Linked DNA regions of Saccharomyces cerevisiae S288C. Changing the gene in region 2 together with the main gene of any one other region gives a genetic interaction. Each region holds a gene or a part of one and is shown on either strand. Other genes may lie near its edges.

Region 1 (4,298 bases), on a different chromosome or scaffold from region 2:
ACCCGCTCTTTCGCTTAGGTTCCATGCCTACTTTTGTTTTATCCCCCTATAACTATGGTATATTATACTGCCTCACCAAACGTTTAGGTCTTGCTTCTGCTTCCCACAGTAGCTTACGCATTATAGCCGATTTATTTTTCACTTATTTTCGCATGCCAGAGTATCTTTATTTTCTTTCTTTCATTCAGCCTGTCGTCGAAAAGAAAAAAAAGAAAATAAATATGTGCGTATTCTAACCATGAAACAGGAACTCATTCAATGTGCACAGTACTTATCTCATTCAATTTTGTAAAAACAAAATATATACATTGTATGTATGTGTGTATTTGCAGTTATATATCTACTAATAACCAGTACGCCATACATGTCTTGATTAGCAAAATATTATTTATGTTTTTCTCATTAGTACTATTTCCGCGAAGAGGGTAGAAAGTGTAGGGTACAGGGAAAAAAGTTCCCTATCTCCTTCTTTCTCTCCTTCCTATTGGATTGAAGTTTATTTATTCAATTGACAAGACTTCTTTGACAGCTTTAACGATGGTTGGAGTATCAGGGAAAGCGAAATCTTCTAATTCTTTAGCGTAAGGTGTTGGAACATCGGCACCAGTAACTCTTTGGATTGGAGCATCCAAGTAATCAAAGGCTTCAGACTCCATAACTTGGGCGACAATTTCAGCACCAACACCAAATGATGGGAAAGTGGATTCAACAGTAATCAAGTGGTTTGTCTTCTTGACAGTTTTGATGATAGCTTCAGTATCTAAAGGTCTAATAGAACGCAAGTTGATAACTTCTGCAGAGACACCATATTTCTTTTGTAGAATTTCAGCGGCTTCCAAAGAAAACTGAACGTTTCTTGTGTACGTAACAATGGAAATATCGGTACCTTCTCTTTCGATCTTAGCCTTGTATGGCAAGGTGAACTCAGGGGATAAAGCTTCTTCTGAGATTTCAAAAGATTCACCGTACAACAATTCGTTCTCTAAAAATACAACAGGGTTTGGATCTCTGATGGCGGCCTTTAACAAACCCCTAGCATCTTCAGCAGAATAAGGGACAAGGACCTTTAACCCTGGAATGGAACCGTACCAAGGAGAAAAGTCCTGTGAATGTTGAGCACCAACACCCACTGCAGCACCATTAGGACCTCTGAAGACCATTTGACATTTTTGAGTACCACCAGACATGTAGTGAGTCTTTGCAGCGGAATTGACAACATGATCGATAGCTTGCATAGAGAAATTGAACGACATAAACTCTACAATTGGCTTCAAACCCTTCAAAGCGGCACCAACGGCCAAACCTGTGAACCCGTATTCGGTAATAGGTGTGTCAACCACACGACGTTCACCGAACCTGTCCAATAAACCCTTTGACACCTTATAAGCCCCGTTATATTGTGCAACTTCTTCACCAATAAGGAAGACATCATCATCACGGTCCAATTCTTCCGCCATGGCACTATTCAAGGCCTCTCTGACGGTCATCGTCTTTGTTGATGAGAATCTCAATGCTGCTGCTGCTGCAGAGGGTCTTACAAAAGAAGTTGGGGCACGACGTGCAACATTTCTGGCCAATGATGTTGGCAGTCTGGAAAACATGTTGAACAAAATTATTGCAAAAGTAAAAGAACTTACTAAACTGCGATCGATTATCAATGAACAAACACAGGAACTGTTATGAGGGAGGCGGAATTTAACGTCCGAGTGTGTAAATGATACTAAATTAGTCTAACAAAAGGAAGAAACTTGACAGAGATAATATCAAGAGTCGCTGTTGCAATCGTTAACCTGTATATGTAGATACACCTCTTTTTATTGCAAACGTGCAAACGCATGACTTTTAATGACGGAGAACTTCTTAGTTGAAGACTCGTCTCTTTTGCATGTTCTCCCACTTCGAAGTCTCGGAAAACAGACCCCGGAAACAGCCGCGACGAAAAAGAATCAGCTTAGGCATGATAAATACTGTGGTTTCATTAGATAGATAAAATACATAAGTATTGGCGTATATAAACGGGTGCCAGATAGAAGCTTTCAGAGAGCATAAAATTGTACAGGATACTGCCTACAACTTACTCTTATTTCTGCTGCTCTTAGCAAAAGTTTCTGCGATAACTCTTCTCTGGATTTTACCTGTAGCGGTTTTTGGTAGCTTATCAACAAAGTACACCTTGGTTGGAATTTTGAAAGAGGCTAGGTGCTTCTTTAAGAAGTTCACCAGTTCTTCGTAGGTCATTTTTTCTCCCTTCTTCAAAACAATGGCGGCTTGAACTACTTGGCCGTACATATCGTCGGGAACACCAAATGCAACGGCTTCATCGATCTTTGGATGCGATAGCATAATGCCGTCGAGCTCAATGGGTGAAATCTTTTCACCACCCCTGTTGATAAGCTCTTTGATTCTGCCTGTAAGGACCAAAAACCCCTCAGGGTCGAAATAACCTTGGTCACCGGTTCTGAAATAGTTCTCTCTCTTGGTGAAGTTCTCCTTGTTAGCTTTTGGATTATTAGCATACCCCAAAGTGACGTTTTCGCCTCTGATGGAAACTTCGCCGACTTTGCCCGGGGGCAAGACATTGTCATTGTCATCTAGAATGACGACGGTGACTCCTTGTGGCTGGCCCACAGTACCAGGCTTTCTCTTTCCTGGAGGCAGATTGTTTGAGGTCATTTGATGTGATGCTTCGGTCATCGCATAGGCCTCCAAGACAGGTGCATTGAATTCCTTCTCCAGCTTATGGAACGTTGCTGGAGCCAAAGCAGAAGAACACGATCTGATGAATCTAATGTGTGGGAAAGGGTTTGGTTTGGGCATGTTCAGCATAATCATGCTTATTGTGGGAACGCAACTGAACCAATTACAGTTGTACTTAACAAATTGGTCCCAGAATAACTTTGGATGGAATCCATCGGGAACCACAACAGAACCCTGAGTTCTAAAAGTGGAAAGTAAAACACCAATTAACCCATGGACGTGGAAAAGAGGCATCACGACATAAGATCTGTCCAAGGGCGTTAGCTTGTAAGTGTTAGCAATGTTCAACGTGCTTCTCACAATGTTCAAATGTAACAAAGGCACCGTTTTTGGAGTGGAGGTGGTACCACTGGTATGCAAAATCAGGGCAACGTCACTGGAACGGGCAAACCCAGGGAATTTAACGGGATTTGTGTTGACAAATTTGGCGTTGTTCAAAGACCGGTAAATAACCCTTTTGTAGTTGTCCTCTGGAGAGTATATATCATACTCTACCCTAAACCTGGTCGCATCGAAGGCCAGCTCTACGATAAAACATCCAAACGTGGAGGCAGATTTTAGAATTTCAGAACTCTGTAACTTTGTGGTACCCTTTGGGACGCAAATCGCCTTAGATTTCAGGTCATTCAAATAAAAATTGAACTCCTTTTCCTTATAATTGGGATTCAAGGGCGCGCCAATTTTAGCGTCCATAGTAGCACCGAGGAAAGCGACGATAAATTCCAGCCCATTACGCATGGATATCGCCACTGTATCTTGTCTGAAAACAGCTCCGTACAATGGAGAATTAGGATTTGTGAACATGGTCTGGAAGTGACCCACCATGTGGGATAGATCCCTGTAGGTCACCTGAGTGTCCGTTTCAGGAACAATAACGGCGACATTATCGGATACGCTAAAAGTATCGTTGAACGAAGCAGTAACAGTAGCGGCACTTGTCATTGTAGCAAAAATGTGCGTGAAGCGTCTAACCTCTTGCAGCACAGTGGGAGTAAATTTCAAGAAGGAGCATCTATTAAAAAGAGCTTTTAATCATACCATCTCTATTTATATACAGTTAATCTTGAAAAATAAAAAAAGACCGAATAAAGGACTCGGAAGCTTTAGCTCGGAATAGTTAAAGACGCTTTCGGCCCGAGAAAAAAATATTCTGAGCACCAAAATCCAATCGCCTGAAGTTTATCAAGTAAATTTGCCATTCCTGGCCCCATATAGTGATGCCTAAGTGGACAGCAACATCGCGCTCTTACTTGTTAGTCGTTCTCATGACGAGCAAGGCAAAAGCACTCGTCCTCAGCTAAGTCGTATGGTATGACTGGCAGCGTGAATGGCACGGCCACATGGGTGGGATTACCCGCGCAGCCTCTACGGTCACGTGTAAAAGTACGGCACGTGACCTTCCTGGTATTTGCTAACCTGCGACTATGGTAAAGCACTCCTGCTTCATAATTGCGTGGTTTTCTTGAAACGGTGCCCCATGCTGTTTGGCTGAGGTTTGCCGAAGTATAAAGGCACCATTCTAGTTCTTTAAATACCTGCGA
Region 2 (6,528 bases):
ATTCGAGTACGGAAGATTTCTTCGAGTATGTAGAAATCTCATACGACGGTCTGAATGGTGAGCTGCCCAATTTGGATCTTGTCAACATCGCTATATCCATTACGGAACATGAAGGTATGAAAGTTTCTTTGCACGGTCTACCCAGTGATCAGTTAACTAATAATAATTTCTGGTCAAGATTAAAAATATTATGCCTGGGAATAAGGGATTGGGCGTTGTCCGGTGTTAAAAAGCCCCATGGTAACGAGGCATTTAGCGGCTGGAGGATTCAATCTGTAACATTGAAAGCACATGGAAACAGTGGTCATGATATTACTACATTTGGACGTATACCCGAAGCAATGTTTCGCTCTATTAATAACCTTTTGGAAAAATTTCACCAATCGTTCTTCTTTTATTTGTTATTAGCACCACGTCAGTTCGTATCCATTAGTAGTTATTTGCCAAGCGCTGTGGCTTTATCTATAGCATTCGCCATAAGTTCATTAAATGCATTTATAAACAATGCTTATGCAAATATATCCTTATTTTCCGAGTATAATTTGGTAGCGTTGTTGGTTTGGTTCGTGTCATTGGTGATATCATTTGTTGTTTCACAAGCGTTTCTTCTAATACCTTCATCGGGATTATTGATGACAATTAGCATGGCATCTTGTTTTTTACCTTTGATACTTTCCAGAAAAATTCACATCTCAGAACCACTATCATACAGGTTGAAAAATGTTGCTTTTTTATATTTCAGTTTGGTTTCAACATCTTTGCTAATGATAAACTTTGCAATGGCTTTACTGATCGGCACATTGGCATTTCCTATGACATTTGTGAAGACCATTGTTGAAAGTTCTAGCGAACATGAGGTGACAACTCAATCCTCTAACCCAATAAAAACTGAGCCGAAAGATGAGATAGAGCTCGTCGAGAATCACATGGATACAACGCCAGCAACCCCCCAACAACAGAAACAAAAACTAAAAAATTTAGTACTATTAATTTTGACAAATCCATTTATTTCAATAACCTTATTCGGACTATTTTTTGATGATGAATTTCATGGATTTGATATAATAAACAAACTGGTTTCAGCATGGTTGGATTTGAAATGTTGGAGTTGGTTTGTACTTTGTATAGGTTGGCTTCCATGTTGGCTATTGATATTAGCGTCATCGTTTGAATCTAAATCTGTCGTAGTAAGGTCGAAAGAAAAGCAAAGTTAGGTGCCATTGGTAAGAAGTAAAGGATTAACGGGTGTTCGAACTACGCAATTGATTTTATACGCACAAACATTACAAATCGAAGCAAAAGAAGATGAAATGATATGATATACTGATACAAATATGTATTAAATAAAACATAAGTATTGATGGAAACATGGCATAGAGAAGCGAAGATGCGATAATATCAAATAACTATATGTGAGTTGTGGAAGAAAGAAACGATCACATTATTATAATAAACTAGCTATTTAAATGTTTATTGAAGACTGTTCTGCCCCCTTTTATTCAGTCACGGTATTGGTCAAAAAATTCTTTATGGAAACTTTCCCATTTCTTAATCCATTCCAGACCAGGTGCCAAAAATGTTGTTCTTAAATGGTAAGTACCAGGTTCTTGACCAAACCCAGAACCGGGAACAGTGCAAATGCCAGTAGATTCTAACAACTTCTTACAATAAAATTCATCCGGAGTTAACTCTAAGTGGCGAGCTTCTTGAACTGCCTTGAAAGGTAAGTCTATCTTAGGGAATAAATACATGGCACCTTGAGGCTTTTGACATTCAATGCCTTCTAAAGAGTTAAATGTCTCATACAGTGTCATTGCTCTTGTAATTAACTTTTCATGGATGGAGTTACGTTCTGCTTGGTCCGACTCGAATGATTCCTCCCCTTCCACTGGTGGACGAACCATCAAATCAACCAAAGCTTGACCTGTGACAACGGGACACAATGAAATCGAGGCTAGTTTCAAGATAACTTGTCTCATCTCATGGCTGAATCCAGTGAGTTCCATGTAGCCACCCCTTTGACCACATTCACCAGAAACACCCTTAGAAGTCGAATGCAAAGAAGCTAGCTGAACATTATCGAATTTACCTGGATGTTCCCTCTGTAAATGTCTCAAAATTTTCTTCATAGAATGGAACTTGGTGCCCGGGAAGATATTTTCTTGATAAACTTCGTCAGCTATCACTACTGTACCGTACTTGGCTGCGACTTCAAAAATCTGAGCTATAGACTCAGGTGATAGGACAGCTCCTGTAGGATTACCTGGATTGATAACCACTAGAACTGTAGGTTTGATTTCGTTCTGTATAGCCTCTTTGACGACAGTTTCAATTTCTTCTGGATTAGTTGACCAACCTGAATTCTCATCTAAATAGTATGGTAAAGCTTGAGAATTGTTCAAAGCTAGAGTAGCGGTATATAATGGATATTGAGGAATTGGAATCAAGACACCCGTTTCTGGCCCTCTACAGAAAATTGATAACAAGTAATTGACAGCTGCGGATGCACCAGCAGTTAGGAAAATATCCTCTGGGTATGATATCTCGCCTTCGTCCCTCTTCGTTATAAATTCAGCGACACTTTTCCTTATACCTTCTACACCTTGAGAAGAAGAGTAAGCACCAACAGAACCACCGATATCTTCCATTAAACTCTTTGCACGTTTAATGGCATCTAGTTTAAACAATTTCGAATCAACTAGCTGCTGTTCGTTTTGGTTTAATAGTTCTGGGTATTGTAAGAGAGACAAGACCTGTCTGTAGTAAGTCAGAGGTTTCTGTTGTAGTTGCTGAGGATTACCAATATTGGCGTTGATAATCCTGTCAAATGGCAGAGATTGAGGATCCTTCTCCAGTTGAGCTTTCAATTCTTCAGCTCTCATTGGGATGGCACCTCTAACGGCGTACTTAGCCTTCAAGACATTTTCATTTACGTCTTCCAAAGTCAATTGTTCGGCGGGATAAAACTCGTTATTCGAAGTTTTCAACGTGTGGTGTGGAAAGCGATTCAAATGACGCAGGTCGTTTAGCGAAGATTGACCAGATAATGAACGTCTATGATTTTGAGCAACAATCCAGGAAGAGCTATGTCTCTGTAGGACGGGTCTAACTTTCCTGAAAGCTTTTAACTTTGTACTACTGGCTGAGGTAGAAAAAGGAGTAGTGATATGTGGCATTTTTTCTGCGCTTGAAGTGAGAGTCCTTATATGATATGACTTAATAACGTGAGTTATAGAATTACTCACTGTGAAGTGATTTTTGGCAGACAGTGATAACATCGTGGAGAGAGCAAAATAAAGACTGGGGAAATATATTTATATGCGTTCAATTGAGAAGCAGAAACAATTAAATGCGGGGGAGAAACAAAGAAGCTGGTCCTGTTCTCGAGCAACGTGTGACTAGTATGAACAACTAGAGTAAAATAGCGAGAAAGCAGTAGTAGTAACGGAAGAGCTTTTCCTAGTATGGTCCGCGGGTCACGATCGTTTACAAAGGGCGCAGCAAACTCTAAATACGTCAACCACAGCAGGTCAGAAGAGTACGTGAAGTTGTCTCAACGAAAGGTCGAAAATCGTTAGGCTTGGACCCCTTCAGAATGAAAAAAAAAAAAGACGCAAGAGTGAAAAAAAAACCAGTACTGTAAAAGCAGAAAACGTCTAATGGGAAGTGCTACTATGTAAGATTATATCATGAATGTGCTGTGTATTATATATGGATTATATAGCCACGAATATGCGGTAAATAAACATATGCATATATGTGTGTGGGGCAGCGCTCTGCTGTGCAATCCTTGTTTCTTTGTTTCTTGGGTCGGGATTTGAGTAGCGACGAGCCATCCTCTGCAGAAGGGAAGAAGAAAGAAAGGCAGAGAGGCAAAGAAAGAGTCAGGCTTATCTTATCTTAAGAGATATGCCGCTTGGACCCAAAAGAAAGGGAAAAGTAAGTACGCAGGTGTAGTTTTGAATGAGTGGCAGTGATAGAGGAGACCGGTTATACGATGTGTTGGGGGTGACGAGAGATGCGACCGTGCAAGAGATTAAAACTGCTTACAGAAAGCTTGCCCTGAAACATCATCCGGACAAGTATGTGGATCAAGACTCAAAGGAGGTAAATGAAATCAAATTCAAAGAGATCACTGCCGCTTACGAGATCTTGAGCGATCCGGAGAAGAAATCACATTACGACTTGTATGGTGATGATAATGGTGCCGCTAGCAGCGGTGGCGCTAATGGCTTTGGAGATGAAGATTTTATGAACTTCTTTAACAATTTCTTCAATAATGGAAGTCACGATGGAAATAATTTCCCTGGCGAGTATGATGCGTACGAAGAGGGCAACTCTACAAGCTCTAAGGATATCGATATCGATATATCTCTTACTTTGAAGGATTTGTACATGGGCAAGAAGCTGAAGTTTGATTTAAAGAGACAGGTCATCTGTATAAAGTGCCACGGTTCTGGCTGGAAACCAAAGAGGAAAATTCACGTTACACACGATGTGGAATGTGAATCATGCGCTGGAAAGGGTTCAAAGGAACGTCTGAAGAGGTTTGGTCCCGGTTTGGTAGCTTCGCAATGGGTGGTCTGTGAGAAATGTAATGGTAAGGGGAAGTACACTAAAAGACCCAAGAATCCAAAGAACTTTTGCCCCGATTGCGCAGGCTTGGGGCTCCTGTCAAAGAAGGAAATCATCACAGTGAACGTGGCTCCGGGACACCACTTTAACGACGTAATTACAGTCAAGGGGATGGCGGACGAGGAAATCGATAAGACCACATGTGGTGATTTAAAGTTCCATCTCACTGAAAAACAAGAAAACTTGGAGCAGAAGCAAATCTTTTTGAAGAACTTTGACGACGGCGCCGGGGAAGATTTGTATACAAGCATTACCATATCGTTAAGCGAGGCCTTGACGGGATTTGAGAAATTTTTGACAAAAACCTTCGACGACAGGTTACTAACATTGAGCGTTAAACCTGGCAGAGTAGTAAGACCTGGTGACACCATCAAAATCGCCAATGAAGGTTGGCCCATTTTAGATAACCCTCATGGCCGGTGCGGCGATCTGTATGTTTTCGTTCATATTGAATTTCCACCAGATAACTGGTTCAATGAAAAATCAGAACTACTAGCAATAAAAACGAATCTGCCGTCATCTTCATCTTGTGCCTCACATGCGACTGTAAATACTGAAGATGACAGCAACCTGACTAACAACGAAACTATATCAAATTTCCGGATCATTCACACGGACGATCTTCCAGAAGGGATAAGGCCGTTCAAGCCAGAAGCACAGGATTCAGCGCATCAGAAAGCAAGAAGTTCGTACTGCTGTATCCAATGATGGCATCAATAACTTTTTATTCTATTTTTTTTTTTTTTTCATAAGTTATCCTACCTGTATATATGTATATATATGAAATTCATTTACTGAATGCGGTGAAGAATGAAGTCTTTCGCACCTTCAGTAGAAAAATAGGAAGAATCCCCATCGCGGCGGACATAAAGCAAGCATACAAAGGCCTTCTATCAGAACAGCGATTGCGAACTTGGAGCAACAATGGCGTCCCAGGTTAACGCCTTATTACTGCCGGTCATAGAGTCTACGCCGCTTCATCAAATAACCAAGGTAGCATTGACGACCACACTCACAAGTAAACAAAGCGATTACAAGTTCAAAGAAATAGCCGTGCCGTTAACAAAATCACTACAACTGTACGAGAAGGCGCAAAGAAGACAAGATTTAAGGGCAAGCTTAAAAGCACTGGAGAGTATCATTTACCAAACGCACTTCCAATGGAATAACCCGCTCCCACGACATGCGCATCTCTTCCAAAAACACTACCACTTTCTACTGACTCACTGGCCATTTGAGAACCACAGAGACTTGGTAGATTCCATCGCTGTAAACAATGGGAAACTAAATTCAACGTCTTCAAGGAGCGTCTGGCTGAAGGCGGATTGGATAACACTGTTTAACGTTAAAAACCCTTGGGTCCAAACGCCGCCATCGTTAATGCGTCTGAGTGGGACAGATCTTGATACCTTCACACCAGAGAGGATATTCCTGATAAATTCTCTTGGAAACCACTACAAATTTTTAATAGCGAACAGTCATCTAAGCTACAATCACAAAAAATACCCCTCCCCTGGCGTGCAAATTCCTGTCAGGAACGCTCTTGGCGAAGTTTCTCCGGCCAAACAAATTGCCCAACTTTTCGCAAGACAGCTGTCTCATATTTACAAGAGCCTCTTCATAGAAAACCCCCCGCTCTCTCCTGAGAACGAGCTGGCATTGACTGCCGTCTTCTATGACGAGACTGTAGAGCGACGCCTTAGAAGGCTCTATATGCGAGCTTGTGCAAGGGCATATACGACTACTAATGCCGACTCCACCACGGAGCCTTTGATGTTTCATTGCACCCGGTGGGAAGTTGATTAGTTGTTGTTGGCTGTTATACTGGAGTAAATGTCACGTGCCACTGTGGCCGTGTCAGGTCACGTGAAGAGAGAAATTCGGCCACAGTTG

The links. Genes that interact genetically often act in the same process or in processes that back each other up.
Region 1: mutations in ALT1 (region 2) and PDB1 together harm fitness less than expected from each alone (positive genetic interaction), as found in Saccharomyces cerevisiae (2 studies listed by BioGRID).

The regions. Positions count from the first base shown.
Region 1 is NC_001134.8:664,653-668,950, forward strand, and holds PDB1 (pyruvate dehydrogenase (acetyl-transferring) subunit E1 beta), read right to left. Parts: upstream 1,602-4,298; coding exon 501-1,601; downstream 1-500. Other genes in the region: YBR220C (uncharacterized protein), read right to left, coding at 1-25; YBR221W-A (uncharacterized protein), read left to right, coding at 1,886-1,990; PCS60 (Pcs60p), read right to left, coding at 2,068-3,699; TDP1 (tyrosyl-DNA phosphodiesterase 1), read right to left, coding at 4,011-4,298. UniProt on the Saccharomyces cerevisiae protein: The pyruvate dehydrogenase complex catalyzes the overall conversion of pyruvate to acetyl-CoA and CO(2).
Region 2 is NC_001144.5:316,738-323,265, forward strand, and holds ALT1 (alanine transaminase ALT1), read right to left. Parts: upstream 3,279-6,528; coding exon 1,500-3,278; downstream 1-1,499. Other genes in the region: GPI-anchor transamidase subunit GAA1, read left to right, coding at 1-1,214; XDJ1 (Xdj1p), read left to right, coding at 3,964-5,343; GEP5 (Gep5p), read left to right, coding at 5,560-6,441. UniProt on the Saccharomyces cerevisiae protein: Alanine aminotransferase involved in both alanine biosynthesis and utilization. Under respiratory conditions, constitutes the sole pathway for alanine biosynthesis and catabolism.